4 linked regions of the Struthio camelus genome follow. The protein of the gene in region 1 purifies or fractionates together with the protein of each later gene. This does not show direct contact. Links are inferred from orthologs where the notes say so. Each region holds a gene or a part of one and is shown in the gene's direction. Other genes may lie near its edges.

Region 1 (7,712 bases):
AGGAATGAATTACATGTGCTGAGCTTGACCACACTGATTCCCAAATTAACATACATAGTGTATATATATAAAGCAAACTATGCTGTACATAAGTATGTTGTATTATGTCTGGATTACATACTCTTAGCTTCTCCCTAGGGAAGTCTTTTGCAACACGTACTAGCAATTAACAGAAACATAACTATAGTGACAGACATGATGTAGTTATCACAAAGAACAACTGTCCCCTTCCACCGAATCACTACATATAGCAATTAAGAGATTTCTGTTGGCGAGAGTTGCAAAGGCGGAAATAAAAATGCTGTATACAACATTCTTTCATCCTAATCTAGCCGATTTTCAGATCCAAGCAGAACATCCTACCAAATGCTGCAGCTTCAGCTACCCTTCCATGTCGTGCATTGTCTTTGTGTTATGGAGATGTAAGAAAACAGTCTGGAGAAACATGTAGGTCTATGCATGTTAGGTAAACAGATACAAAAAGGACAGCGCCAGAAAAGCGCATGCAGATAAACTAGTTAAGTTAGGTAATAAACTAGAAGATTTGGTCAGATAAGGATTACCTACTCCTAAGACTGTATTTTTTTTTTCCTGAGACAATTTCCCTCTATAAAAGGACAATTAGGAGCTGTATTTTTTCAGTTCATATAAGTGATCAATGTGAACAGTATATTTAGAAAAGAACACTCAAATTGGATAATTAAAAGGGTCATATTTATTTTACTGAAGTAATGAAAAGACGTTTTTACTATCTCAATTTTTAAATATTTAAGCTGTTTTGTATACTGGCACCTGTGTCATTTCATTTTTTTTTTCCCATTTGACACTATCTATATAAAACTGCAGTCTCTCTGACCATACATGATTATCTGCTTCCTAAAACAATCATTTCAAGTGTTGCCAACCACTAACAATCTCTCAATTCAGAAAAAACTCCCCCCTTAGGAATTTTACATGTGTGAAGTTGCTGTATAGACTATATAAATAGCTTTTCCGTGTTGCCTGTCACAAACTATTCAGAATCAGTATGGGGGCTCAAGGGGTCCACAGAGCCAAGCTGAAAGCCACTGTCCTAAGAAGTTGAATTTTTGTTTTTGTTAGTGTTTCTTACTCTTCTAACAGCCCAAAGAATCTTAGTTAGCCCATGATGTTGTGCAGCTTTCTCTTGTCTTACCATAATTAATAACCGCTAAAAAATAACCACTATTTTTCCACTCTTGTGATAAAACTCAGTAAGAATTGAATGCACTCAGAAAAAAAATAGATTGCGGAGAATGAGGAAACTATTTTTTTAATCAAATATAAATATTTCCTCATAAGTAATGAGGAAAATAAGAAACCTAGGAAAATTAACATGCCCTCAGTACCTTTGCTCAATATGTTTATCCTTCTGCTATTAACTCTAAATAATAGAATATGGCCTCCATGTTGTAAACACTTAGGCATATGAGTAGTTGTATGCCTGTGTGTAAGCATCACTGAATTTGCTGAGATCACAAGTATAAATGTTTGTCAGCTCAAGGCCTAAACTGTTAGCAGAATGTTTAATTGGCATAATTTGAATCGAGGAAAGTAGTTGTGGCAGTACCTGGCAGATTAAATGTAAGGATAGACTCGCAAGGGAAAAGGTGTTTTTAAAAAAAAAAAAAATTGATGACATAAGCAATCTAGTATGTTCCAAATCGAAAACATTCATATTTTTACAGAATTTTTATGAACCCTAGGAATGAAAATTAATTTGGACAAGTTGAAAGAGAGACTCAACTCCATGACTAACATGGGAATTATCCTAATCCTCTCTTCAACTTAATCATGGAATTTTAACAAGGTTTTTCTGGAAGCCCTTGAGATCTCCTACACTGAACGTTAACTTACATCCATTATTTTTATACTACTTTAAACACACTCATAAATGCAGTCTGTGCTTGGGTTATAGCATAAACCCTTTAAATTCTAACTCACTTGTTTGAATCTTGGCCAGAAATTACTATCATTTGCTGTCTTGTGCATGACGTATGTGAAAAGGGCAGAGGATCTTAATCTAGTATTAGTTCTAATTCTGAATTTCCATCTATGTCCACTATTGCTAGACTATTTCTGGAACAAGCTGCACTTTTGGGCCTCCACTGTAAAGGAACAGTGGAAGCCCTGAGGAGTCATCCATGTCTGTGAACAAGTCACAAGTTCTCTCTTGCCCACTTCACTCTGTTCTCTCTGCCCACTTCTCACAATTATATGCCTCTCACCTATAAAACAATTCAGTTTGGAGATTTTGCCTCAAAGGTATAACCCATCCCTGGTCTATTAGCTGCTCTTGATCACAGCATTCAGAAGAAAGAAATGCCGTAAGCCAGAGGACGATTTTGGTTACAGCTGCGTAAATGAGGGAAGCCAACTGCTTGGCAGAACCTCATACAAGGCTAAAAGATTCAGTAAAAACGGTGTCAGTGAAAGCAATTTTTCTGTCAGTGCTCCTACTTCTCCTAAGTAATTTAATGGTGGCAGCAGCAGAACTGTAAGCAGCATCAGCCAGAGCTCAGATCTGGTAACCTTCCAGACATGCTGCAGAGCTTTTTTTTTTTTTTTTTTTTTTTTTCCCCAGGCCATTAGGGATGGACAGGTTGAGGAATATGAGGGGCCAGGCTTAATCAGATGATGAGTAATGACTCTCATTGAAGAGTTGGTTTATGGAGTTCTTTATATTATATGCTTTGCATTTTGTAGAATGCTTGTAAGTTTAAATAAATGCTTAAATACAGTAATTAATAAATGTTAATATCATGCTCACCTACCAGAAAATACAAATGAAATCTGTTAGTCAGGGAAAGTCAATATTTCATAAGCAAATCTAAGCAAAAGCTTGGGGTAAAACATTAGAATCGCTAAATAGATGGAACACATGCTCTGTCAGGTGCACACTCAGGAAACTCATCCTTGTAATAGGATATAAACATCAGCAGTGCCGTTGTAGTTTACTTTCTCTCAGTCCTGGGCTGAATTTTAATCCAGAAACTCATTACCAGACTTAGTTTCGCTCATTTATTGTTCTTCACAACTGTTGGCTTCGATACAGTTTGGGGCGGGGGAGGAGGGGGTGTTTTTCTAGTTGAGGCTGGTTCTCCTTGGCTGAGTCTCATTTGCTTGTAACGCTTTCAGGTGATTCCTCCCTTCTCCACCTCCAAAACGACCCATCCAGGAGGTATTTCGGAAGGAGCTTAGCCAGGTGCTGAGTTTCCCTCAAAAAGGAAAAAGAAAAAAAAAAAAGCCGCTGCACAAAAAAACGCATACACTCGCCACGGAAGCGCAGAAAGCGCTGCCGCCCGTCGGTCCTGCTGCCCACGAGCCGGGGCGGGCCGGGCGGGCCGCTGCCCGCTCTGCCTGGCCGCGGCGTGCAGGACTGCGCTACGAGGGAGCCCAGCTTCCTCCTCCTTTACTTGCCTTTTCTCCCTGACTTGGCTAAACAGCTGCATCGCAGCTCGCAAATGACCGGTATTTTCAATTTTCGAAGCTAATGAGATCAGCATCGCACAAGTATGCACTCACCCCTCCTTTCCCAACAAAACGTAGGAGCAAATCTGCTGTTTTCTTTCAAAATATGAGCATGGCGTTTTGCGTTATTTTCGAAAGCAGGGGAAAAAAAAAACCAACAGAGCCTGAGAGTATTTTTCTTGCAAGTTCAAGTGTAAAATAAGATGCTTTTAAAATAAATAATGCACCACTTTGGATCAACGCTGTATGAGATTGTCTAGGGGCCAATGCCTACAAATCCTCCCCTTATTATGTCCCAGGATGGGAGCTCTGATGCATGGACACAAAACAACTTTGCTCAGTGACCTGTGGGCGAGGGAAAATCTTTGCCAGCTCTGCAAATGACCCAGCACTGATACTTGCTTCTGTAACTGTTCGCTCAGCAACACTCCCAATTTCCGTTATGCACGCTGACATTTTTTGGACCCGCGGACTGCAGCCCCGGCCAAACCTTTGAAAATATTTGCTGATAAATTAAGCAGGTAGTTTGGAAACAACGTAGCGAGACCGGGAGGGAGGAACGGGTAAAAAAAAAAAAAGAAAGAAAGAAAGAAAGAAAGAAAAAAAAAGCAGTGCGCGAAGCACTAAGAGCTGACCGAAACTTGCGGTGCAGGTGGCCCCTCGCTGTCGCCGCCGAGCAGGGCACCCCCGACGCCTCCCGGCGTTTCTCCCTGCATTTTTGTCCCCTCCCGCTGAGGAGCACCACGGGCCCGGCACCTTTCCCCCTCCCCAGCAAGTTCCCCCATCGCTCTTTCCACCTCGCCCTACAAGCAATTGCAGCAAACCAAGTTAACCAGGCTGGCGTGGTGGGGTTTTTTTGTATTGTTTTGGGTGGGGGGGAGAGGGCGTTGTCGCTGGAGGGCGTTAGCACTCGTGGCCCCCGCCGCACGCTGAACAGCGGCTGCCCCGCGGCACCGACCAGGGGCAGCGCGATTTGCAGGCAGCAGCGATCCCCGCCGCTGGCCGAGCCGTGCCGTTCCCACTGGCCGTGCGGCCGGCAGGGAGAGCCGGCAGGCGGAGGCGAGCTGGCAGCAGCCGGCAGGCAGGCGGGCAGGCAGGCACCGGGCGGGCGCGCACACACACACACACACACACACGCGGCGCGCACAGGGCGGCGGAGGCTGCTCGGGTATTGTTGTCATTGTGCTCCAGCGGAGGGTTTGGCGTGCGGGGAGGGGGGAGGGGTGGAGGGAGGAGAAGAAAGAGGGAGAGAGAAAGTGCAAGGCGAGTGCGCAGCAGGGCCGGGGCGGCACGCCCGGGGTTACGCGCCGACCAGAGCCGCCCGCCCGCCCGCAGCTCGCCGGGGGCCCGGCGGCGGCGGAGAGAGGTGGAAACGATCCGGGCGTGGGGAAGGCAGCCGCCGAGCCGCCGCACCAGCCGCAGCAGCAGCGACTACTTCTTTCTTATCTCCCAGCCTTTTGTTCGCTCATCCTCCTCCTCCTCCTCCCTGCCCACCCTCTGCACCGCGGAGGGGGCTCAGGAGAGAGAGAAAAGCAGCCTGACCCAGCGCTGAGTTTCACCCATCCTCCGCCTCTCTCTCTCTCTCTCTCTCTCTCTTTCTGTCTCTCTCTCTTCCCCCGCTGCATCGCTGCCCATGAGCTAAAGCAGCAGCCGCAAGCAGCCAGTGCCGCGGCAGCCGGCTCCGGCAGGCAGCGGCGAGACACCGTCCGCAGCCGCCGCAGCTGCCGGTGCCCCCCCGCCGCCGCCGCTCGCCGTGCCCGGCTCCCCGGGCTCCAGCCGCGCTCCGGGACTGCCGGGGGCCGCCCTGCCGCCGCCGCCGCCCCTCCTCGCCTCCATGTGCCGGATAGCGGGAGCGCCGCCGCGGATCCTGCCGCCGCTGGCGCTGGTGCTGCTGGCGGCCCTGCAGCAGGTAAGCGCCGCCGGCGGCTGCGGGGAGCCGCGCCGGGCTGCGTCTCTTTGTTCCCCTGCGGGCGGCGGTGCCCGCGGAAGGCGGCGGGATGGGATGAGGTTTTGGGGGGCGGGGGGGGGGCTCCGCGGCCGGCCGGCGCGTTTCGGGAGCCGGGGCGGCGGGGGTGGGGGAGGGGGGTGGCGGCAGCTGCTGCCCCGCAGCCGGGGGTCCCCGTCTGCCGCCACGGGGCCACCTGCTCGCGGCGGCTCTGCCGCCGGGCACGAAGCCTCGGCCGAGCAGGCGAAGGGGAGCCGGAGCCTCGGGCTGCCGGGGGGGGGGTCTTGGGGCCGGGGGGAGGCGGCATGAGAGCTGGTGGGGTGTAGGTGGCTGTGCCTCTGCCGAGGGGAAGGGGAAACACACTTCCCCCCCCCCCCCATTTGGGAAAGCAGGTGGCCGGGGGGGGGGGGTCCGGTGTGTATTTTGGCGGGGAGGAGGTAGCGTCTCGGCACCACGCTGAGTGTCGCGGGTGGGGGGGGAGTGAAGTACCGGGGAACAGGGAGGAGCGGACCTAACCCCTCTCGGCCCCGAGCCGGGAAGCGGGGACCGGGGGCCGTAGGTGCAAGTGCACAAACCCCACTTATTCCCCCCCCCCCCCCCCCCCGCCTCTCCTCGGGCGGCTGGGGCAACAGCCCTGCCCAGGGGGGAGGCTGCAGCGCGGCTGGGCTGCGGGGAGCAGGGCGCGGGGAGCCCCCGCCGGCTCCCGTGCCCGCTAATCCCTTCCCGGGAAGAATTTAATCAGCAGCCGCCGCCGCCGCCTCCTCCTCCTCCGCCTGGACGCCGGGCTTCCCCACCCCCCGCCGCCTTTACGGGAATTTCCACTGGGACAGGCCCGGGCTCCCGAAGTACTTAATTTATATCGAAAGTCTTGTCACCTCGCGGGCGGGGGGGTGGGGGGGGGCGCTGGCCGGGGGCGGCCCAGGCGGGCTCCTCGCGTACCAGGAGGAGCTGCGAGGTCCCGGGCAGGCTGTGGGGGAGCAGCGAGCATCCCCCTCCCCCCCGCCTCCATGATGTGTGGGGAGGCCCCGGGGAAGGGGGGCGAACGGTTTTCCGTGGAGGGAACGGGGGGGGGGGGGGGCTTCGCGCCAGCCTCCCTCGGAGGGGTGGGAGGTGGCGGGGGGGTGGGGGAAATGTAGATGAAATGGATCCTCAGTGTGCCGGGGTGTCCCTCGGAGCGGGGCAGGAGGGTGCTCGGGGGGAGCCGGGCGGGCTGGGCGCCCTGGGCTGAGGGGACGCGGCGCTGCCTGCCCAACGGTCGCGGGGGCGCGGGGCTGCCGGCGGGGGGAGGGTCCCCGGCGGCGGTTGGGGAGGGGGCCGGCGGCTGGTGCCCCCGCTCCCCCTCGCTTTGTGCTTGCGGAGCTGGTATCCGGCGCGGTGCAGGGGGCGGAGAGGGCGGTAAATCTGAGGGACAGATGGCGCAGATCATCGCCTCTTAATGGTATTTGCGGATGGGGCATTTCTGGCGGGCCGGGGGAGCGGGCTGAGGGCGCGGCGGGGCCGGTGCCCCGGCGGCGGCGGCCTCTCCCGCCGGCCGCGGAGGCCGGGGGAGGCGGTGAGCGGCAGTCACTGTCCATGGTGCAGAGCCGGGCTGCCCCCTCCTTCCCCGCCTTCGCGCCTGGCTTTTCACCGCTGACAAGGGGACGGCAGGAACTCGCTCTTCCCCTTCTCTGCTTTTTTTTTCTTGTTTTTAGTTTTTTTTTTCCCCCCCCTCCTTACCTTCTTTTTCTGGACATTCCCCCCTCCCCCCCCCCCCGCCGCCCCGCGCGCTTTCTTTCACGAGGTCCCCAGACATCTGATTCCTCCTACACGGTTTCTAAGCCACTTGCCGGACTCATGACTCGCACCAGGCGAGCAAGGTGCTGAAACATTTATCCGCAGCAGCTGGGGATTTTCTCTTCCGTCTTAAGAGGACATAGGGCCGTCCGCCGTAGCGGGGAGGTGTGCGGCTGGGCACGACTGTCTTCTCCGTGTGAAACCAGCCACCCTGTTCAGAAACTTCTGATATGCCACTTTAAAGATTGTTTTGTTTGTGCTGGCTGATTTTTGGGTGGCCTTGCCCCCCCCCCTTTTTTTTTTTCCTTAAATATTGGTCTTGGCAGACCTATACCTGCAGGTTTTTTTTTTTTTTTTTAAGTCCTTATGTGCTGTTTATTTTATGTGCTTTCAGTTCTGTTTAGCTTTCCTATCTCTTAATAAATCTGTAAAGCACAAATTATGTTTTAAGCTTTTATTCCATCCTTTTTACTCTCCTCGGCAGGTCTGAAGTTAAAGCACAAGA
Region 2 (7,644 bases), on another chromosome or scaffold:
AGTACTACAAGGCCTACGAGAACTGCCTGGCGGGCTGCGAGGGCTCCTACGAGCTGCAGGAGTTCAAGGACTTCTACCCGGCCATCGCAGGTGGGGCCGGGGGCCGGGGGGCGGCGGGGGCGGCGGGGCGCAGCGCCTGACCTCTCTCCCCAGACCACTTCGTGAGCGTGCTGCGGTGCAAGGTGGACTGCGAGGCCGAGCTCACCCCCAACGTGGGCGGCTACTTCGTGGAGAAGTTCGTGGCCACCATGTACCACTACCTGCAGTTCGCCTACTACAAGCGTGAGTGCCCCCCGGGGGGGAGCAGGGGGCCGCGGCCCCGCGGGCGGGTGGCGGTCCCGGCCCGCCGGCCGGCCCCCGTCCCACGCTCGCTGCCGCGCAGTGAACGACGTGAGGAACGCGGTGCAGAGCGTCTCCAGCTACATGCTCTTCGACCCCGGCGACGCGGTGATGCAGCAGAACCTGGTCTACTACCGCTTCCACCGCCAGCGCTGGCGCCTGCAGGAGGAGGACTTCCAGCCCCGGCCGGTGAGCGCCGCGGCGGGGTGCGGAGCCCCGGCGGGTCCGGCGGTGCCACGGGGCTCACGCCGCCCCTGCCCTTGCCTCCCCGTGCCCAGGAGGCCGTGCGCTACCACAACCAGACGGCCACGCAGAAGCAGATGCTGGACTTTGCCCAGCAGTACCTGCAAGCTGACGACGAGGTACGTCCCGTCTGCCCGAGCGCCCCGGAGCGGCGCCGCGGCGGGGAAGGGGGTCCGGCCCCGGCCCTCCCTCCTCCCGTCTCCCTGCTGCAGATGGAGGTGGACGGCGGCGAGGAGCCGGACGCCCGGGACCTGCCCTCGGACGGCGAGTTCGAAGGCGAAGGCGACTACGAGGAGGGCTTCGTGGCAGAGTGGTGGCAGGAGCCCAGGACCAAAGGGGACAAAGCCGACCAAGGTTGCTGGCGCCGGGGGGGGGCCGGGGCGCTGGGGGCGGCGCGGGCGGCCGCCGCGCTGCACCTAACGGCGATCCTTCCTTGCAGAGACCCTCCGATGAGCGAGGCCGAGGGGGCCCGCGGCCCCGGGGAGCCGGGCTTCGGGCTCCCGCGCGGAGACTCGGACGCGCCGGGAAGGGCTGATCCGGCGGCAGGGCCCCTGGCGGAGCCCCCCTTCCCGGCGCGGAGCACCGGCGCCTCCGAGCCACCTCCGCGCGCTGCCCCGACCCCGGAGCCGGGCTGCCGGCGGTGCCGGGATGCGCCACGGCCCCTCGCCTCCCCGAAGGAGCCGCTCCGAGCGGCCTCTCCCCGCTGGCGTTTCATCCCGGAGGAGCCGGAGGGGCGGGAGGCTGGGAAAGGGGCCGGGGCGCCCATGCCCCGCGTGTGCCTTGGATTTCCCCCCCGCCAGCCCGCCGTAGCCTGAAGCTCCGTTAATTTAATACTTCCCGTCTTCCACGGTTGCTTTTTTTATTTACTGGTGCTGAACTTTTAATAAAATCCGGACCGGTGTTTTCACGGCTGCCTCCGCTTCCCGTTGGCGCCGGAGCCGGGAGCTCGAGGCGGGAGAGGCTGGGGCGTTCAGGGAGGGAGGAGCATGTGTCACCCCGGGGGGTGCGTGCATGACCCTGGGGGTTATTTGGGGTGGGAGCGTGCATGCATCGCCCTGCGGCTGGCCCTGGGGGTGCATGCATGACCCTGGGGGTTATTTGGGGTGGGAGCGTGCATGCATCGCCCTGCGGCTGGCCCTGGGGGTGCGTGCATGACCCGGGGGGTTATTTGGGGTGGGAGCGTGCATGCATCGCCCTGCGGCTGGCCCTGGGGGTGCGTGCATGACCCGGGGGGTTATTTGGGGTGGGAGCGTGCATGCATCGCCCTGCGGCTGGCCCTGGGGGTGCGTGCATGACCCGGGGGGTTATTTGGGGTGGGAGCGTGCATGCATCGCCCTGCGGCTGGCCCTGGGGGTGCGTGCATGACCCGGGGGGTTATTTGGGGTGGGAGCGTGCATGCATCGCCCTGCGGCTGGCCCTGGGGGTGTGTGCATGACCCTGGGGGTTATTTGGGGTCGAGGGTCCCTAAGGGGCTGGAACCGACACAGTTGCCCAGCCCCGGGCTGGAAAAGCACCCGGTGCCAGTAACGCTCCGGGACCGGGGCCGGGGGGCTGCAGCCGGGAAGCGCCCCGGTCCCTGCTACGTCGCGGTGGCGCGTGTGCTGCCCTCCTCGCCGCCGTGCCGCCGGCAAGCCCGCGCCTGCCCTGGCCGGGGCGTCTGCGCGACGGCAGCGCGGTGCCGCGGCCCAGCCCGCGCCCCGGCCGCCGCGCTCCTCCCTGCTGAGCCCGGCGCATTTTTGCTCCCTTTGGAAGTTGGCTCCCAGGACTGAAACCAAGAGGCTGAATCATAGCGTGCGCCCTTGGGGTGGGACGGGGCGGCGGGAGGCTGCCCGCACCCCTCCCTGCTCGGCACGCCGGGATGCGGCTCCCGCTCAGCCGGGCCCTTCCCAGCTCCGGCGGGCAGAGCTAAGGGGAAACGCGGGCTGCAGCTGGGCAGCTCCCCGCCGGCCCTCCCGGGGCCAAGGCTCCCTTGGGCGGGTGACGGCGGGGACGAAGGCGGCGAGCCGAGCCCCCGCCGCGGGGCGACGCGCCGGCAGGGCAGGGGCGATGGTCGAGCCCGTCGTCCTGCCGCCGCTGCGCGGGTCGGGGACATCCCGGGAAAGCGGGGACATCCCGGGAAAGCCGGGATGCGCTGGGAGAAGTGGGACAGGCCAGGGAGCCTTCAGCTCGCGCCCTTTGCAGGGCCTGCGGGTCTGACCCGGGGCCGCGGACACGCGGCGAGCCGAGCCTGCCCGGGCGCAGCATCCGCACGGGGGTTTGGGGGGCTTTCAGCCTTTTTCTCCCCTTGCTGCCCCCGGGGCCGGGCGGAGGGGTTACCGCCGCCTGCCTGTCGCTCCTGGCCTTGGCCGGGAAGGGGCACACATGGATTTTTGTCACCTGACATCGCAGCCGGCCCCATGAAGACCCCAGACCCAGCTCTGTCCCCGGGGGGATCGCGGGGGGTCCCGGGTGCGGGGCCGGCCGGCGCCGCGGGAGCTTTGGGTCCCCGCTCCGCACGCGGAGACGAAATCTCCCCCCTCCGCATGCGGAGGCGTTGGAAGAGCCGGCGCTCGCTGCCAGCCAGGAAACGCATCCGAGCTGAGCGCGAGCCGTCTGCCGGGCGGCGGCGGCGGGGATTTCTCCGGGGCTATTCCAGGCCACCGGAGCCCGGCCGGCTCGGCCGCCCCGCGAAGCCCCTCCGCCCGGATTGAGCTGGGAGGGGGAAACGCGACCAGCAAGCGAAGGAGATGCAGGGGGAGCGTCCAGATGTGCGCGCCGGGGCGGGGGCGGCGCAGATGTGCACAGCTGGCGGCGGTGGGGGGGGGTTCCCGTTGGGACGCGGCGGGATGCGGGACGCCTCCTGCCCGCCCCGCGCGGGGGGGCGCTGAGGGTGAGGGCGGCTGCGCCCCGGGGCCGCGAGCGAGGTGGGACGCGCCGAAGACGGGGCCCGGCCGGACCAGTCCTGCCGGGACGGGGTGACGCAGGCGGCCGTCACCTCCCCGGCGCGCCTCAGGCCACCCTGGGGGCTGGTCCCCCAGCCAGCCTGCCTGCCTCGGTTTCCCCATCCGGGCTGCACGGGGACCCTTCCCCGAGCCGGGCGATGCTCCAGGCCCCCCGGCCGGACCCGGCCGCGCCGCCGGCTCTGGGCGGCTCGATGCAAACGCCATAAATAATGCACGAGGCAGCTGCAGCCCCGATGGATTTGGCGGCGCGCGGGGGGCTTCAGCGGCTGCGGGGCCGCAGAGGAAGCTTGGGAAGCGGGAGCTGCCCCCCTCGTGGGGCGGGGGTCCCTGCACCCCCCAGAGCTTATCAGGGGGTCCCTGCACCCCCTGCACCGCCCCCAAGGGTCCCCCCTGCCCCAAAGGGGTCCCTGCCTGCCCCCCGAGGGGGTCCCTGCACCCCATGCATGTCCCTCAGGGGGTCCATCCTTGCCCCAAAGGGGGTCTCTGCACCCCTAGTATGTGATCAGTGGGGTCCCTGCCTGCCCCCTGCCCCCAAGGGGTCCCTGCACCCCATGCACGTCCCCCAGGGGGTCCACCCCTGCCCCACACACCTGCCCCAAGGGGGGGCTCCTGCACCCCCTGTACATGATGGGCGGGGGTCCCTGCCTACCCCGGGGGTCCCTGCACCCCATGCATCTGCCCCGGGTTGGGGGGGGGTCCTTCCCCCCCCCCGCCCAGGTGGGGCTCAGGCCCCGCCCCTCCCCAGGCCCCGCCCCCTGCCCGTGGGAGAGTCCGGGCCCCGCCCCTTCACCCCCGGTCTGGCCTGGCCCCGCCCTCCCGCTGACGTCACGCAGGTGCGCTTCCCCCTCCCACCCGCCCCCGCGGGCTCGCCCAGCCCCGCCCTCTGCCGCGCCCCGCCCTCCCCGCCCAGCGCCGGGCCGCTGGCCAATCACCTACGGGCGAGGGGCGGGGCGGCCGCGTCGCCACCAATGGGGAGCCGATAAACACGTCCGGGCGGTGGCGGCGCCCGGCCCGCCGCGGGCGTGACGGGCGGGGGCGCGGGCCAATGGCGGGGCGCGGGGCGGGGACGGGGGCGGGGCGGCGCGGGGCGCTGCTCGCCTTTTGTTCGGGCAGGAGCGGGGCGGCCGCCAGTGTGCGCGCAGGGGCCGCGGCGGCGCAGGTGAGCGGCCGGGAGCGGGCGGCCGGGAGCGGCGGGGCGTGGGGGTGGGGGGGGGATCCGGCGTCCGGGGGGCCCCGGCGTCCGGGCTCGGACCGGGGCGGGGGGCCCCGGCGTCCGGGCTCGGAGAGGGTGGACCCCGGCGTCCGGGAGCGGCCGGGCTCGGACCGGGTGGGGAGGGGGGACCCCGGCGTCCGGGAGCGGCCGGGCTCGGACCGGGTGGGGAGGGGGGACCCCGGCGTCCGGGAGCGGCCGGGCTCGGACCGGGTGGGGAGGGGGGGCCCCGGCGTCCGGGAGCGGCCGGGCTCGGACCGGGTGGGGAGGGGGGGCCCCGGCGTCCGGGAGCGGCCGGGCTCGGACCGGGTGGGGAGGGGGGGCCCCGGCGTCCGGGAGCGGCCGGGCTCGGACCGGGTGGGGAGGGGGGGCCCCGGCGTCCGGGAGCGGCCGGGCTCGGACCGGGTGGGGAGGGGGGGCCCCGGCGTCCGGGCTCCGGCTGAAGCTGGGGTTGGGCTGGGAGGATCCCGGTGTCCGGCAGCGCCTCGCCCTAACCTGGGTTTGGGAGGATCCCGGCGTCCGGGGCTGGGAGTGGCCGGGCGGCAGCCGGGGGCCCCCCCGGGGGTCGGGGCAGAGGCTCCCGCTAGAGGCAGAGCTGAAGCGAAGCTGCCTTTTATATATACAAATACATATTATAAAATACTATATGTATAAAAGAGGGAATTGTCGCCCCCGAAGGGGGGTCGGTGACAAGCTGAAGCCCCCGAGGCGGGTGCGCTGCAGACCCGGTCCGACCGGTGCCCGCAGCGATCCCCCCCCCCGGGGCGCCCGGCCGGACTTTCCGGCTCCTTTACTCCAGGAGCGACTTTGCAAACTGCGGCCGCCGTCCTCGGCGTGGCCCCTCGGTCCGCCCGCGCCTCGCTCGGCTCCGGGGCGCTGGCGTGGAGCCGCGGCCGCGCGTGGGGTGCGCCCCGGGCTGGCGTGCTGCGAGTCACGCAGGCTTCGCCACCCCGCTGGGTGCTCGCCGTGGCGGGTGGTATTTGCAGAGCGCTTTCCCCGGGGAAGCTGGTGCACCTGCGAAGCACCGAGGTTCGCCGGCACCAAAGTTTGCGAGTGGGGCTGCCCGCTGGCAGAGAAAAGGAGTTTTTCCCCAGCCAAAACCCCTGCAAGGAGCTGACAGCAAGGATCTGTGCAGGGAAACTAGGAAGATGGAGAGGGGGTGAAACTGCTGTCATTTTTGCTTGGCATTTGGAGAGGAGCGAGGGCTCTAATTGCGTTAGCAAAGTGATTAGCTTAATTAATCAGGTTTACGGCGCAGATGAAAGGATAATGCTGAAACATTGCTGGGAGTTGCCTGGGGAGGAAAAAACGTAGGCTGGTGTACGAGGAACTTGGAGAGAGGCGTTGCTGCCGCGAGAGGAGCGCGTGAGCGCCAGCCCCGTGCCTGCAAGCAGGGAAGGGCCGCGATGGCTCGCACCGCCTGTCCTTGGCTGGTCCCCTGGGGCCCAGGGCGGCCGCAGCTGCGTCATCCCTGGTAGGACTTGATCGGGCTTTGCTGTCCACCTACTCCCTGGGGGTCGGAAACCCCTTGGGTGGACGTAGCTCGCAAGCGGGACGGGAAGCAAACCTCACGCAGTGCTGCTCCCCCAGGTAACGTTTGGCGTTGGTGTTTCGGAAGGAGGAAGGAGCTGGTGTTTTGGGTCTGCAGCTGGGGCTGTGCCTGGTGCATCCCTGGCTGGGACGTGGATGTGTGGCCAGGCTGGCCCATGCCCTGCTTCTTGGGAGGAGACGGGCAGAGATGGCGTTTGCTTGATGCGTCGTTCTCCGGTAATGGATCTGGAGAGGTCTAAAGGTCCCTTCCTGCGTCTTTTATTGATGTTTGTTGGAGTAAAAGTGCAGAATGCCCAATTAAACTGTCTTTGTGCAAGTGAAGCCTGTAATTGTTTGTTGCTCTGGAGGAGTTCCATGAAGTGTCATGAAAAACCCATTTTACAGCAGATTTGGCTTAAACGAGTTGGCCATTAGGACAGGAATGTAAAAAACTCTTGGCTTAAATGGTTGAGATGTGAAGGGGGGGGAAGGCAATTGGCTTGTGCGCTGTTCTCAGCTGCATTAGCACAAGTGATGGGGGGCCGTCTTCAGGACACCTGGGTCCTTCAAGCTGCCCCTGCTCCAGGAGTTTGAAAAGTGGCTGCTGGAAACCCCCTGCTCCGACCCGCCGGAGTCGGTGCAGCAGCGACGCGGCAGTCACTTTCGAACAATAGACTTTATGGTCTATTGTCTGGGCGCTGCTGTGCCGGGTGCGTCGCCGCCGGCTCCGGGGAGGCGCGTGCGTCCCTGGCGCGGTCCGGAGGAGCCGGCGCTCCGCTTCCGACTTCAAACATTGGCCTCGGTGGCGCTGGCAGCTCGCCGTTTGGTTGCAGCTGGAGACCTTGAAGAATTTCACCTCTGGTCCCAGCGCTGTATTTTAACCTTAATATTCAGCATTGTCCTAATCCCCATTAATTCTATCCTCTCCCCCCCCCCAAAATCCTTAATCAGATCTAGCAGCTGGAGTAGGCAACTGTTTTGCAGCTGGGAGGCTTTTTTCGGTGAAGGTTATTCCTGTGACGATGGCTTCCCTTCCTGGCTGTGGTTTGGGGTGGGAGCACTCGATGGTGTTTGGCTTTTTATCGTGCTCCCAGATCTCTGGGGTTTAAGGCAATGGTCCTGCCTGGCGCGCTGCTGCTCGCAGGTGGCAAAGCCTTCGGGAGCGACGCTGGCCGTGGCCCCGCTTCGCCTGCTTTTTGCACGGGGAGCAGAGGCTCTTTGCGGGGAGCTTGTGAGACTTTAATTGCAGTGTCTGTACCGTGACTTCACCAGTCTTGGAAATCTTAAATTAGGCTGGCTTCTAATTAGCAGCACTTAAAAAGAAATCCAATTTCTAGAAAAACAGCACAAGTTTGCCTTGGACTTCTTGTGGCATTGACA
Region 3 (6,905 bases), on another chromosome or scaffold:
GTCTCTCACCACAGCAGTCCTATCTCAATAGTCCTTACTTCTGCTTCAACCCTGAGTCAGCCTCACAAATAACAAAACTAAAATGCCTCTATTAAAATATAAAAAGATCAAATATGCATTCCAAAACAAGGCAGGCATGCACGTATGCATGGCGTACCTATTTTATTTTCAGCATTGTTGTCCCAGAAATAGAAAATCCAATTCCTGCCAAAAGTACAGCATTTAGACCCGGTGTGTGCTGGGAAGAACAAAAAACATGGTCATGCCAGGTGCTATATGAACCAACCACCTCCTTGGCTGGCATATAAGTCTCCCCCAGGTTACAATAGCAAAAGGGCAACTTTTCTACAGCGACTACACCTGAACTAGTATCTTTAAGTGGCAATATCAGGGATTGCCCTTCCGCATACTGCTGACTAACACAGACATGCTGCCCAAGGTGTGCAATCACAAACCACTTTGTACCCTTACGGACTAGGCGCAGAGTTGCCGTCACAGAGCGAAGAATGAAAGCATTTGTTTGTTTTGTGTGCTTAACAACATACACGCAGCACCACTGTAACAGTCTCCCCTCATTGCTTGTCCTTTTCCCTGGTTTACGTTTGGTTTTCATCCAGCAAAAAGGGAAACTTTTTAAAACCAGGAAAATGGGATTACAAAACCACAGACACTGTTAAAAGGGAGATTCAGGGTCAGGTGGAAAACTTCTAATTCATTTCAAAAAAGGGACTGGTTTTCAGGTTGCCAGCACAGCCTGATGCTGTCTTAATGACAGTCACTGGATTGGAAGTGTTAGCTACTGTTCCGGGTGCCTGTCTAAACAACACCTTGCATTTCTGTCTCCTTGACAGAGCCTGCTACCGTGTTCCAGACAGAGCTGTTAATTAAGAGACAAAGTCCAATCTAAGCCTAGCCGACTCTGTTTTTACATAATTTTGTTTTTTATTTGCTGAGTCTTTTAACTTGATGATCCATGAACTGACGGAGCTGCCAGCTAATTTTCTACTTTTTGCTTCGCGTTTCAACAGTGCGGTACAGAAAGTGCGATTCTCCAGAACGCCAGGCCTTCTACCTTTGAGTTTGTAGTTTGAAAAGGGATTTTTTTTTTTTTAATCTGACATTTTGCCCTGAAAGGATGTGAGACGTGCAAAACTGCTGAATGTGGAAGCCACCACAGGAGGCCAAGGCATGATATTAAACGGAGTAATGAAAGAAAGCAAGCTATTGAAGTGTAAACTCAATTTTATTGAGAGTATGCTGCAGATCAGAAATGAGTAGTTTGAATCCCTGGTGCAACTGACACCAAAATATTAATGGTTTGGTACAAGCAGGAAATACAAAAATCTTTAAAAAAATCCATGTTTTCTCTGCACTTATAGAGAGGAGCATCTGTTTAAAAAGTCTGTTTGCTGAGACACTGAATACTCTATATTATTTTAATAACTTATATCTCAGCCAGCATCATAATTACAGACTTCACTTTCTTTCGATTAACTTCTCTCATAACAGGGCTGGACTCTTGATCCCTATTTTCTTTACGGATTGTAAAACAATGGCACTATGCTTATTTCTCTGGCTTGCTAACCTCTTGGATTAAACCGGTGGGGAGAACAAAATGCAATCTAAGATGCTGCAGGCCACAGTCCGTCTTCCCGCAGGACAGGCTTGTAGCGGCAGGGCAAAAATAGGAAGCATGGTCTTGCTGACTTTACGGAGCCAAGACCTGGAAGAAAATCATAGTCCTAAAGCATTGCATTCCTCCGCGATGGCACTAGCCTGATTGCACGGCCCCTGGAGAGCCAGCATGGGTTGCTTTGTCTACCTTAACTAGATTAGATAGCTCCAGTATATACTCTTTGCTAGGCTTTCCCAGTCTCTCTAGATTTTGACTAATATCAAAGGAAGGAGCAAGTAGATTCAGGCATCTTAGAAATGTTGGCAAATGAGTCACGAAACATATTGACTTTATTTGACTGGTTTTGCAATCCAGTACAAGCACAAGTTCTGTGGAGACCTTTGTATTAAAAGTAATCTCAAAGTGTACTACAAAAAAAACCCCCAAGTCGTTGGGTATAGAATGAAAGCGGCCAGTTCCTCACACAAGAGACTCAGTGACACTTTGAAAAAAGAAACCTTTGAAATAAATTACTGTGTAAAGACAACTTCCAGATCTACAGATTGACCTCAATTCGATTAATGTTAAGTTTCTAAAATCTCCTCCTTTTCTGATGGAGGCTCTGGCATTTGGATTCCAGGAGACATTTAAAATAGCATACATCCGTTTCTGAAATCTCCCACACTTGCATTATCACAGCTTGACAGCCCTTTTATGTCATGGATTTCCCCTATTGCTTTTCCTCTGTATGCTTGTTATTAGAGACATTTGCATGAAAACAAGACATTTTTTGAAAAGCGACAACTCTCAGAAATGTTAAGATACAACATTAGGTTTTCATAAGAAAACAGCAATTTATAAAACCCAAGAGGAACCGAGCTGTCATTTTTTCCCTTTTCCCAGCGAAGCTGATATCACGTATCCACCCGTTTCCAATAGATTTGCTACCTTGTATCTTGCGATAGCCCGGAAGACTAAAGGCTGTATCAGACTTTGGTTAGGGACCATCAGCGGGGTCCGTATGGCATGGTCTGTATCTCCATTTCTGATTTACACAAATCAGATGTCGAAAGATTAATTATAGCTCGTTAATATCCCAGTCAACGGACACGGCATGGATTTTGAACGTCTCTGCGATTTCCCGTCGTAAACCTGGGGGACTACGCAGTTCTTCTAAGTTTCACTGATGGCAGCTAGAAGATTTTTGATTCCTGGAAGTGTTTTGACCTAAAACGTTCATTTTACCTTAGAAGGAAGTTGACCAAAGGTGCCAGAAGTATGGGCCAGTGGGGGAGGAACACAAGAAGCAGCTGGGAAACCTGCCCTTTTGCCCTGTGCTGCTAGGAAAGGCTGTGGTTTCGAGCAAGTTCACGCTTCCGGCGTGCAGAAATCACAGCGAGCGCGAGGCGGGCTGGTTGTGCAACCACTGAAACCAAAAAAGCGGAAGACCGGTTTAAACCCCACGGCCTGGCCACTGAGAAACCGCAGCGATACCGCTGCAGGCCCGTAGCGGAGCCGGCAGGGCCGCAAACCGCGCGGCGCCCGGCGGGCAGCGCAGCGGGGGGAGGGCTGGGGGCGCCCTGCTTGGGGTCCCGGCAGCGCCCGAGGAGCGGGGTCGGGGCACGAGGACGGCTCCGTTCGGGGGGGGGCTGGCAGAGGCCTGAGGCGGGGACAGGCCGCCCGCAGCCCCCTCGGCCCCGGGCGCGGCCGTTGGGGCCCTCACATGCGGCCGTTGGGGCTCGCGCGTGGCTGTTGGGGCCCTCGCGCGCGGCTGTTGGGGCCCCTCGCACGCGGCCGTCGGGGCCCTCGCGCGCGGCCGTCGGGGCCCAGGCGTGGCCATTGGGCCCTCGCGTGTGGCCACTGGGGGCCGGGCGCGCAGCCGTTGGGGCCCTTGCACAGCCGTTAGGCCCCTCGCGCGCGGCCGTTGGGGCTTGGGCGCGGCCGTTGGGGCCCTCGCGGGCGGCCATTCGGGCACGGGCACGGCCGCTGGGGCTCGGGCGCAGCCGTTGGGGCCCTCGGGCACGGCCGCTGGGCCCCTTGCGCGGCCGCTGGGGTTCGGGCGCGGCCGTCGGGCCCCTTGCACGGCCGTTGGGGCTCGGGCGCAGCCGTTGGGCCCCTTGCACGGCCGTTGGGGCTCGGGCGCAGCCGTTGGGCCCCTCGCGCGGCCGGCGGGCCCCTCGCGCGCGCGCGCGGCCGCTGGGGCCGGCGCCCAGCGCCTCACCTGGCGGCGGGCGGTGCCGCCAAGGGCGGCAGGGGCGGCGCGCGGCAGCGGGCGGGCGGCGCCGGGAAGAGCCGGCCGGACCCGTGCGGGGCGGGGAGGCGGGAGGTGCCCGGAAGAGCCGATTTCCTCTCTCCGGCTCGGGACGGGAGCGGCGTCGAGCGAGACAAAGCGGCCGCGGCGGCTCCGGGCCCGGGATCCAGCGGCGGGTGCCCCCCTCCTCCCCTCCCGGTAACTTCGGCGGCGGCGCTGCCCGCTCCCCTGCCCTCCCCCCGCCCCGCTCCTCCGACTTGGGAAACTTTTCGCGGCGCCGCGGCCGGGCCTGGCCGCGCCGAGCCGGGCCGGGCCGGGCTGGGCTGGGCGAGCTCGGCCGGGGCCCAGGCCCGGCTCTGGCCCCCGCGACGGGCGGCCGGGAGGGGCCCCCGGGCGGCGGTGGGGGCTGGCGGCGGGGCCCGGCGCCCCGTGGCGGCCCCGTCCCGGCGCGGGCGGCGGCGGCGGCCCGGAGCGCGGAGCGGAGGGGAGGGAGCGCGGCCCGGCCCGGCCCTGCCCGCCTGGCTTCCGGGCGCCGCGGAGCGGAGCGGAGCGGGCCGCGCCGCCTCCCCGCCGGCGGCGGGGCGTGGGCCGGGGCTGCCTGCCGGGCCGCGGCGGGGCTCCGCGTGGCTGCGCCCGGGCGGTGCGGCCCTGCCCGGCACCGGGGCGGGGGCAGAGCCAGCTGCCGGGCGCGGCGGGGGCGGGAGGCTCCTGTGGGGAGAGCGGCCAGGCGGCGGGTGGCTTTTTTGGGCACGAGTAGATTAATGTTATCTTGCTGTTCAAAGAAGAGCTCTCTGCTTCCAGCAGCAGTACGGATCGGGCTGGAAGACTGTCAGCCGCAGTTACCGGACTGGTTCGGGTGGGAGCAGGGATTTTGCTTTAATAAAAAAAACGCACCAAAAAAAAACTTTCCACAGCTGCTGGGCACGGCTAGGTGAACCTGTCCGGTCCCTGCCATGGCAGCAGTCAGGTACAGGCATCTTCTACGTGGTTCCCCAGGCAACTATTTGCAGAGTTGAATCTTGCTGCTTGGCATGGGTTACCGAAAGCGTTGCTTGATTGCTTCAGTTTTGTGATGAGTTGATTTTTTTTTTGGTTGTTGGTTTTTTGGGGTTTGGTGCTGACAACACTGGTATGCTCTTCCTTCTCTGTTCTACCTGCAGATTTTTTTGTGATGCAGCTAAAACAAGCTTATGCAGTTCTCCCCCAAACTGGTGTTTGTGTTTGAATACGTAAAGTGCAACTTCTCTTCATCCCAGAACACCCCGTTTCCCTTAACTTAGCCATGTCACATTTTTTGATAGCCACCTATAATGCCATAAGACAAGTACCCTTTCTCTGCTGACCAGAAGTTTCATGCCACTTCTTACATCTAAACAATAGAGAGACTGCATCAATGCTTTCAGTCACTGTTTTATCCTCAACTCTCATCCCTGCAGCCTGTGGGCTACTGACTAATACATATTGGCCTGCTATTCTTGGTTAGTCCCTTTCACATTAGTTCAATGGGTGTGAAATATTTTAGGCTGAAAATACGTGGAGGACAAAAAAGTATGTTAGTCTCTTATATTTAGGCAAGAATTAGATGTGGTCGAAGCTTACTTCCCTGTTCCTCTCACGTTGGTCTGCCTGCCTTACCCGCAAGGCAGTGTGTATGTTATCGCTATGTCAGCGTGAGTGATCAATAATCCACTTGCCTCGTCTGAGTTATGCGCGTCCATTATTGTGTTCTCATTCCAGCATTCACAATTATGACTCAAGGCATGTTTATGGTTATTTCTATTGAAATAGTCTAGGATCTCCCTGCAGTCTTTTGTCGGTCCTGTTGTACTTCTTGTTTTGTTTTGTTTTTGGTTGTATTTTTTGTTTTGTTTTTAAACTGCATTGTGAGTAGGGAAGTGGGGGCGGTAGGAGAGGCTCTGCTAACTGTAGCTTTGATTCTAACCTACATCCTTAGTCATGCTGGCTAGATCAGACTTACAGCACTTTCAAACCCAGCTGAAGGTGCTAGTTTATTTTCAGCTCTTGGGCTAGTTTGTGGGGATGTTAGTCTGGGTTTCAATGTAGGTGAAAGGCTAAGCTTACTTTGCAGTATATGTGTGGTCTTTCAGGTACAAGGCAGATTGCCACGTATCTGTCTGGAGCACGCTAAGCTGTTTGGTTTGCCTTTGTGTGCTCAGGCAGCGTTAAGTGTTTAGAAGACTTGTTTCTCTCTTCCTGCTGAACTGAATCTTCTTGCTTGAAAGGGCATTATTTTAAGTTGAGTCATTTTCTGTTTTTTTCTTTAGTGGAAAACAGTTTTGAAAACATAAAGGAAATATCTTTGGCTCTTCTTAAGAGAAACAGATGAAAGTTCAGTTTTTGTTTTAGAAACACTTTGCTGTAATGTATTTGATAATAAACAAAATGCCGTCAGGTTTTTTTTTTTTGTCAGCTGGCTCTAATAATAGGTGTCTGCATCAGAGATTAAAGGTTTACCCACGGTGACAGGGAGGAGTACACTAGGTCAAGATTAGAAATACTGCACCCAAACTGATGACTTTAAATACCAAAGCAAATATTTACCTCTGATAAAATTTTCAAACTTTGTAAAGCATCAGCCTTTGAGATGGTGTTAAAACGTGTATAATGGCAAGTGTTAATATGCAGTTTATTCGTAGGACTTCCGTTAGTCAGATCAAGTTAACTGAAAGCTATAAAAGAAAAGTAATTTGTGTATTTCAGCTTCATAAATTTCTTCCTTCTGCAGCTGTAAGATCCAGAAACTGATCTTGCAAAAGAGTCCGCCTTAGTAGAGATATTTATGAGCTGAAAATAAGCTTTAGTAGAACTTTGGCCTGTGTGGAAGTTATACATACTGTTGCTCTATAATATCCTTTCTTATGAAAAGAATTAGTTAAACTCACAAAAATATTTAGCAGAGAACCCGATCTACTAAGCATAGATATTAAGGTTAGTCTAGAGCGAGGACATACATGGCTGAGATAGTCCGTTGAAGGACTTGCAGCTTCTGTTTTACTGGCATCTCTTGACTGTACGGGA
Region 4 (6,920 bases), on another chromosome or scaffold:
CAGCAGCAACGCAGCCGTGTATCAGGCACGCCAGAAGGACGCCCCAGGCTTTGTGCGCTGGTGGCCGCTTACCTGTCGTCCGTGTCAGGGGCAGCCGTCTGCCGCGCGCTCTCCCCTGTCGCGTGTCGGGGCGCGCGGCGTGTGTGCCTCATGCTTTTTCTCCGGGGCAAAGCCTAGCACGGTTTGAGCACCCTGCTCTTGGCCACCCGCTCCCCTGAGGGGCAGAGACGTGTCAGGAGACCAGCTCTCCCTGTCACGCAGCCTGGGCAAATTGGGACAGCGATGGGGTGAAAGAAGGGCACTGGAGGCAACGCTCGAAATCCACCTGTGGATTGAAATAATTTGTGAGCTGACGTGGAACAGCTCCATCTGGTGACTCCCACCATAACGATGCTGTAGGTTTCATGGCTGGCTTTTTAAGCCTGGCTTCCTGAAGGCACAAGGTTTGTGTGATCGTGCCAGGCTCCCGCGTGCGCCCCACCGCGAGCCTGTTGTACCTCCCGTTGTATCTTTGAACTCCCTGGCCAAGTCCAGCCAACTCACAAAAGTGCCTTCTTCCAGCGCGTCGAGTGGCTCGCGTGGAAAAGAGGAGGGCAGCGAGGGATTAGCCGTGATCCAGGAGCAGTTCTCACTCAAGCCACAGGGCTGAGGGGGGCCGTGTCTTCCCGATTTTGGGAGACGAGGATCAGGCAGGGGTGAGGACGAAAGGGGCGCAGGAAGAAGGTCTCAGTTCGCCTGTGCCGTGGGACAGAGAAACCTCCTGCTGTCTGTGAGAGGCAGAGGTCCCGCCATCCCTGAACCCCCCCCGCCCCTGCTCTCTTTCCAGCCAGCACGTTGAAGAATGTTTTATTGATGTAACGTCAGGGAGGGTTTGGGAGTCCCCCGCCCGCCCTGATAATCTCTCTAAATGTGTCCTTCACGTTAACTTAATCCCATTTCTCCTCCTTAGGCCTTTTTGCAGCACCCTCGGCAACCTCCACCCCTGGCTGGGGGATTACCTTCTTCAAACATTTGCAGGCTGCTATCGCATCTCCCCCACCTCCTCCTTGCTTAACCAGGCTATGCATATTTACTCCTAGAATCACCCATCCCCACCCAAGACTTTAATCGACTCTTTTCCTCCTGCCGTTATCTTACTAGTAATTTGGCACTCAGGACCCGACAGGATTCTCCCCAGTCACTGAATCCAGCCAGCCCAGAACCAGAGACAAGGTGGATGAATGTCACCTTCGGGGGATCTGGATCAGGACTTCTCTCAGGTGAGTGACGCTTAACCTGGAAACAGGCAGGCTCTGCATCGCTTCCAGACCTTTGTTAAAAAAGGGGAAAATCTCCGTTACTGGAAGAGCACAAAGGTGCGCGTGCGAGAGTGCTTACAGCAAAGAAGAGGCTGCCGGTCTCCCATTTGAGCTATCAGTACACCCTCGACTCTGAATCAGCTCCCATATAGTGTCAGCGGCGGAGCCTGGGCCCTGGGAAGTGGCGCCACTTCCTTGCCAAGCTGAGTAACTCTCTTTTGTGGAGTACGGCATTTCGGAATTGTATTTCTCCAGCTGCGTTAGCTGTAATTATTAAATCTCCTGTTGCTACTTCCGGCCCCGGCTCTCTGTATCTACCCAGATCCCCTTGTATTATTTCTGTGACCCAGCAGCGATTGCAACACTGTTTGATTTAGTACCTTGGAAGAGGGGGCAAAGCAGGATTAATTTAGCTGGGTTGTTGTTTGCGTTTGATTCTTTCCAAGTCTACTGTGAAAGGCGCGATTGCTTTAGCGGCGCGCGAAGACCCCGCGCCTTCCCCACTAGACCCCTTCCCAATGGCTTATCTCATCTTTGCTTTGATGGGACTCGTAACAGCCATTCCCTGTGTTTGCAGTCCTTCGGCGGCCCACACGGCCTTGGCCACGCAAGGGGCTTTCTGAAATCCGCCCCTGCTCCCCTTACCGGGGACGCGCCTGCTGGTGCTGGGCCTTCAGGTCACCCACGTCTAGATGAGGTGTTTAGCCCCGGCCGCCCAGGCTGCGTTCCTCCACCCGCGGTCTCAGGGGGTCGCACGCAGGCGAGGCAGCCCCCGTTACCGGCGCGGGCTGCGTCAGTCCCTTGCTAGCCACATCTTGCCTTATCGGGATCGCTCTCAAACTCTCAGTTTTGTCAGGACGGAGGCAGCGGCTGGCGGGGGAGGCAAAAGGAGCTGGGATGGAGTAAGAAACAACTGAAAACTTTAATGGGAAGAGCAGCCCCTGGAAGCGTTCCTGAGCCAAGCATGACGCACAGGCTGCCAGAGCGCAAGCCGATGGGGCAGGGCGCCGCCGCACGCAAATCCGGAGGGGCAGCAGGGCCTGGGGGGGCGCACGGGGGTCCGGCGGCAGGATGGGAGACAGGCTCGGCCTGCGATGATCCCCTGGGCTTCGGAGGCGGCCCGCAGGGGTAGCGGTGGTGCTTCACACGCGCGAGCGTTTGCGGGCTTTCCGCGGAGGGGGCAAGGGTATCGCCTCCCACGGCGGGTTCGCCGCCCTTCTCCGTCGCCCCACGTCCAGGGAGTTCCCCCCCGACTACTGTCGCGTTTCTTCCTCCACCCCCAGCCCGGGGAGGGCTGAGCCCCACGGGTGCCGCGTACGCTCCTTCCCCGCCGCAGGGCCCGGGGCCGTCGCGCAGGGCCCGTGGGCGCGTGCCAGGCCGGGAGGGGGATCCGCTGCCGCTCTGCCCGAAGGAGCTGCCGAGGTGGGGAAGGGCTTTGCCCAGAGACCTCCTCGCCCTGCCGCTCCTGCCGGGGGGCAGAGCCCCAGCCCGGGGAGCAGCTTGCTGTGCCCGGGGGCGGACCCCCTGCCCTGGGGGCAGCTCTTCCTCCCAGGGACAGAGCTCCTCCGCCGGGCAGTTCTTCGCCCCTGGCGCACGTCCCGTCCTGGGGGCAGGATCCCCCCTGGGGGCAGATAACCTACCAAGGGCAACTACCCTCCTGGGGGCAGATCCACCCCCCAGGAGCAAAGACAGCCCCTAGGGCAAGATCCCCCCCCCTCCTTGGGGGCAGGGATCCCCCTGCTTGGGAGCAGGATCCCCCCCCCTTGGGGCAGATATCCCCCCCTCCTTGGGGACAGGTTCCCCCCTCCTTGGGAGCAGATATCCCCCCTCCTTGGGAGCAGGATCCTCCCCCTCCTTGGGAGCAGGATCCTCCCCCTCCTTGGGGGCAGGTTCCCCCCTCCTTGGGGGCAGGTTCCCCCCTCCTTGGGGGCTGGATCCCCCCCTCCTTGGGGGCTGGATCCCCCCCTCCTTGGGGGCAGGTTCCCCCCTCCTTGGGGGCAGGATCCCCCCCCCCTTGGGGCAGATATCCCCCCCTCCTTGGGGGCAGATATCCCCCCCTCCTTGGGGGCAGGATCCCCCCCTCCTTGGGGGCTGGATCCCCCCCCTCCTTGGGGGCAGGATCCCCCCCCCTTGGGGGCAGGATCCCCCCCTCCTTGGGGGCAGGTTTCCCCCTCCTTGGGGGCTGGATCCCCCCCTCCTTGGGGGCAGGATCCCCCCTCCTTGGGGGCAGGTTTCCCCCTCCTTGGGGGCTGGATCCCCCCCTCCTTGGGGGCAGGATCCCCCCTCCTTGGGGGCAGGATCCCCCCTCTTGAGGCAGCCCCCGCCCCCCTCCCCGTTGTTACCACCCCGCCGCGGCGGGACCCCCTTACAATGGCGGCGGCCATTGGCGGGCCGGGCGGCGCCGGGGGCGGCGGCCATTGGCTCGCGGCGCGCTGACGTGCGCGGGGGCGGCCCCGCCCCGCGGCCCCGCCCCGCCCCGCCCCGCCGGAGCAACTTCCATTTTAGGTGCGGGAGCGGCGCGGGGCGCACGGCGCGGCCCGGCCCCGCTGCCCCCTCCCTCCCTCCCTGCCGGCCCCGGCCCGCTCCCGGCTCCGCTCCCCCCGGCCCGGCGGGGCACCCGGGCCGCCGCCCGGTCCTGCCGCCGCTCCCGTGTCTCCTCGCCGCCTCCGCCGCGGCGGGACCCCGCGGAGCGCGCCGCCCCTTCCTTCCCCCCCCCCCCCCAACCCTCCTCCGAGGACCGGCCACGGTAAGTCCCGCCGCCGCCGCCGGGGCGAGCGGGGCCGGCAGCGCCGGGGGTGGGGTGGGGGGAAGGAGCAGCCGCCGCGGGGCCGGCTGCCGCCGGGGGCGGCAGGGAGGGGCACAAAGGCCCCGCGGGGCTGAGCGTCGCGCGTGTCGCCGCTGCCCGGCCCGCAGACAAAGGGCGCGCGTGTGCCAGCGCCCCGGGGCTGCCGCCGCCCCGCTCCGTGCGGGCAGCGAGGGGGCCGCGCCGGCCCGTTCGTGGGCGGGGGGCGGCGGGGCTGCGCCGCGCCGTTGGCAGCTGCGTGGGAGGGCTCGGGGCCGGCGGGGCAGGGGGGTGGGGGAGCGCCCTGGCGAGCTGGAAACTCTCTTATCTGCCTTGCTCGCCTGTCTGCCGCTATCTCGGTTGTCTGCGCCTTTGTTCTCGCGGGGAAGGGGACTTCTGTGCCTAGGGAGGGTCAAGTATGTGGGGTGGAGCACAACCCCCCCCCCCCACACACCCTCTTCTCCCGCAGCGGGTCCCCTGAATAGAACAGCTCTGATCTTAAAAACCAGACGTGTCCGCCTGGCTGGCAGGTGACACCGAAACGCTTCCAGGTGGGGAACAGCCCTGCCACGGTCAGTTCCCCGGAGCCCCGGGCTCAGCAGGCTGTTTTTCTTCAGCTCCCGTTGGCCGCCCTGTCACTTAGCAAGAGATCTGCTTCCTCCCTCCCCACCGTCCGCTGCCTTTTGTGCTAGGAGTCGATAACCTTCTCTGATACTGCCTTTCTCTTGCAACGTGAGGGCTCTGGGAGTGTTGCGGAGGAGAGGCTTATCTTGGGGTAAACGCAATCAAGTTTGGGTGGCCCTCGGACAGCGGTGAGAGAGAGAGGCACAGGCACGCTTGCCTCCCTTGCAGAAGGGATGCTGGGCATCTCCGCTATGCCCCTGGGCTTTGAGTGAGGGAGCCCGGACAACAAAGCTTCCTCTGATTGTTAGCGAGAGGGGTGGATCTCCTGGAGGTGCCTCCCTCCCCGGGAAGGGCTCCGTGCCCAAGCTCTTGCACGAAGCCTGTGACAAAGCAGGGACTCCTGAGACGGCGGGGTGAGCAGGGCTTTTTTTTTGGAGGGCCGGGATTATCCTTTCCCCTGGGAAAGAGTCTGTGGCGTGCTCGCGGCAGAGTTGGACACCCTTGTCTTGGGGCTGTGGCACCCAGCCTTGCACAGAGCTCTTCTGCCCGGCCGCTGGGAAGCGAGAGGGCAGAGTCTGGGCACATCTGAGACCATCTAGGCACGTGGCTCGTTGTGGTGGTATGTGAAGTACAGCCGTCTGCTGCTTGGTCTCTTACCTGTTGTCCTGCCTGTGGTGTTACTTGGCTGCCCTGCACTTGATGTGGAGTTGAAAACAGGCTTGTCCTCAGCTTGGCAGGGAGCGAAATACTGAAGCTCAGCACCACCAGGACCCAGGTACCGTGGGAATCGCATACCCGGTGTTTACTGCTCGAGTCTGAGGTTTCTGTTTCAGTGTCTTGCTCTTTTTCTCCGGGGCGCTGCTCTGGATGTGGGGAGATAGGAGAGAGCAGCTGGGGACAGTCGCAGTGTTTGGTGGTGGCTCGCTCCTGTCTCCTGCTGCCCGCAGTGCATGCTTCTGTGCGTCACGGCTCCCCGGGGCCTGCTGTGGCCCCAGCTTTCGGCTGGAGGCAGGGTTCCCTGGTGCAGCAGGAGAGCTGTGGAAAGCTATGTCAGCAAGAGCCCTAACGGGGGATGTTTTCGGCTTCCCCAGTTACCTTGTCTGTACCATCCTGCTCTCGGCACTTGAGGCAGGTTCTCTTACTTGTTTCTGACTGTTTACTCATGCACTTAAGGAGTGTGTTTTTTTTACACTTGATTGAACTTGGCTGGGACTCGGTTGCATGCAAATGACTGTCCTTCGCGATGTGCAGCAGTTGTTGGAATTTTGCAAGGAGCCTTCCGGGAAGGGGTGGGAGGATGAAAGTGGCTTGTTTAGTGGAGCGTGCTGGACGGCTTTGCTGGGCTCCGCTGGGCTGCTGCGGAGGGGCGAGCCTCCTCCCGTCTGACTCTGAGGTCAGGCCCAGATCTTTGTGGTTCGGTAGCCCTCGAGATCCTCCCTTCCCTAAAGACGGACTAAGAGTCCGAGGCAGATGCTTCAGCCCAGCCTGCAATCAAGCGTCCCTTGTTTTCTCTCCCTCCTTCAACTTCTGACACGGAGATAAAACCTCGATCCATTGTGTTTGTATTGGGGTGGTTTAGGACGCCCAGCGAAGCGTAGCATAGCTTGGATCATGCCTGGAAGGCTGAGTCCTCAAAATAGTTTACCGGTGCCTGTAGCCTTAGGGAAGAGTCCTAGTTAAATCTCTTGGTTTCTCTTCCCAGCAACCCATCATAACTGTCTGGCCTTTTACTACTGGCAAGCGCAGAGCCCTTACTCAAGATTGTGGTGATACTGTCTTGAGGGATATGCAGAGCTTTTATCCTGGCCTAAAAAAACCCCTTAATCCCTGCTCTATTGTTGTTTTTCCTTATTTCTGCCTTGTTGACAGTGAGGGGCGGAAGCACCAGGCTGGTTTGGGTCCATAAAAGGCAGCAGGTGTTGCCTGGATGAGGTGACAAAACCAAACCTGTTGGGTGATTCAGGCAGCTTCAGAGCTCTGTGTGCGACACAGGGCTTGGCTGGTGGAGGAAACCGTCCTCTGGCACACAGTGCAAGAATGTGTCTCAACACGAGGCTGTTGGAAAGGGACTGGCTTTGCAGGCTTTAGACCAAAGTCCTGGAGTTTCCCAAGGTGGCCACAACCTCCTCTTCAGCTTTTGTTCTTGTACAGGCCTAAGAGGCTGTTTGGAGGAAACTTGTTCTTTCAGAACTAGTGTACTGGGGACTCCCAGCAGC

The links.
Region 2: the proteins of CDH2 (region 1) and JUP purify together in Homo sapiens (co-immunoprecipitation; 4 studies listed by BioGRID and IntAct, with this or other methods). This does not show direct contact. The link is inferred for Struthio camelus from reciprocal best matches to the Homo sapiens genes CDH2 and JUP.
Region 3: the proteins of CDH2 (region 1) and CTNNA1 purify together in Homo sapiens (affinity purification with mass spectrometry; 4 studies listed by BioGRID and IntAct, with this or other methods). This does not show direct contact. The link is inferred for Struthio camelus from reciprocal best matches to the Homo sapiens genes CDH2 and CTNNA1.
Region 4: the proteins of CDH2 (region 1) and CTNND1 purify together in Homo sapiens (affinity purification with western blotting; 6 studies listed by BioGRID and IntAct, with this or other methods). This does not show direct contact. The link is inferred for Struthio camelus from reciprocal best matches to the Homo sapiens genes CDH2 and CTNND1.

Annotation. Positions count from the first base shown.
Region 1 is NC_090943.1:123,141,270-123,148,981, reverse strand, and holds the start of CDH2 (cadherin-2), read left to right. Parts: upstream 1-4,703; 5' UTR 4,704-5,323; coding exon 5,324-5,398; intron 5,399-7,712. UniProt on the Homo sapiens protein: Calcium-dependent cell adhesion protein; preferentially mediates homotypic cell-cell adhesion by dimerization with a CDH2 chain from another cell. Cadherins may thus contribute to the sorting of heterogeneous cell types.
Region 2 is NC_090966.1:7,328,449-7,336,092, reverse strand, and holds the start of JUP (junction plakoglobin), read left to right. Parts: upstream 1-4,625; 5' UTR 4,626-4,683; intron 4,684-5,526; exon of another isoform or gene 5,527-6,324; intron 6,325-7,644. Other genes in the region: P3H4 (endoplasmic reticulum protein SC65), read left to right, coding at 1-90, 154-282, 383-528, 618-701, 795-936, 1,022-1,035. UniProt on the Homo sapiens protein: Common junctional plaque protein. The membrane-associated plaques are architectural elements in an important strategic position to influence the arrangement and function of both the cytoskeleton and the cells within the tissue.
Region 3 is NC_090954.1:20,905,404-20,912,308, forward strand, and holds the start of CTNNA1 (catenin alpha-1), read left to right. Parts: upstream 1-3,895; 5' UTR 3,896-4,064; intron 4,065-6,905. UniProt on the Homo sapiens protein: Associates with the cytoplasmic domain of a variety of cadherins. The association of catenins to cadherins produces a complex which is linked to the actin filament network, and which seems to be of primary importance for cadherins cell-adhesion properties.
Region 4 is NC_090946.1:7,454,277-7,461,196, reverse strand, and holds the start of CTNND1 (catenin delta-1), read left to right. Parts: upstream 1-3,910; 5' UTR 3,911-4,044; intron 4,045-5,101; exon of another isoform or gene 5,102-5,479; intron 5,480-6,920. UniProt on the Homo sapiens protein: Key regulator of cell-cell adhesion that associates with and regulates the cell adhesion properties of both C-, E- and N-cadherins, being critical for their surface stability.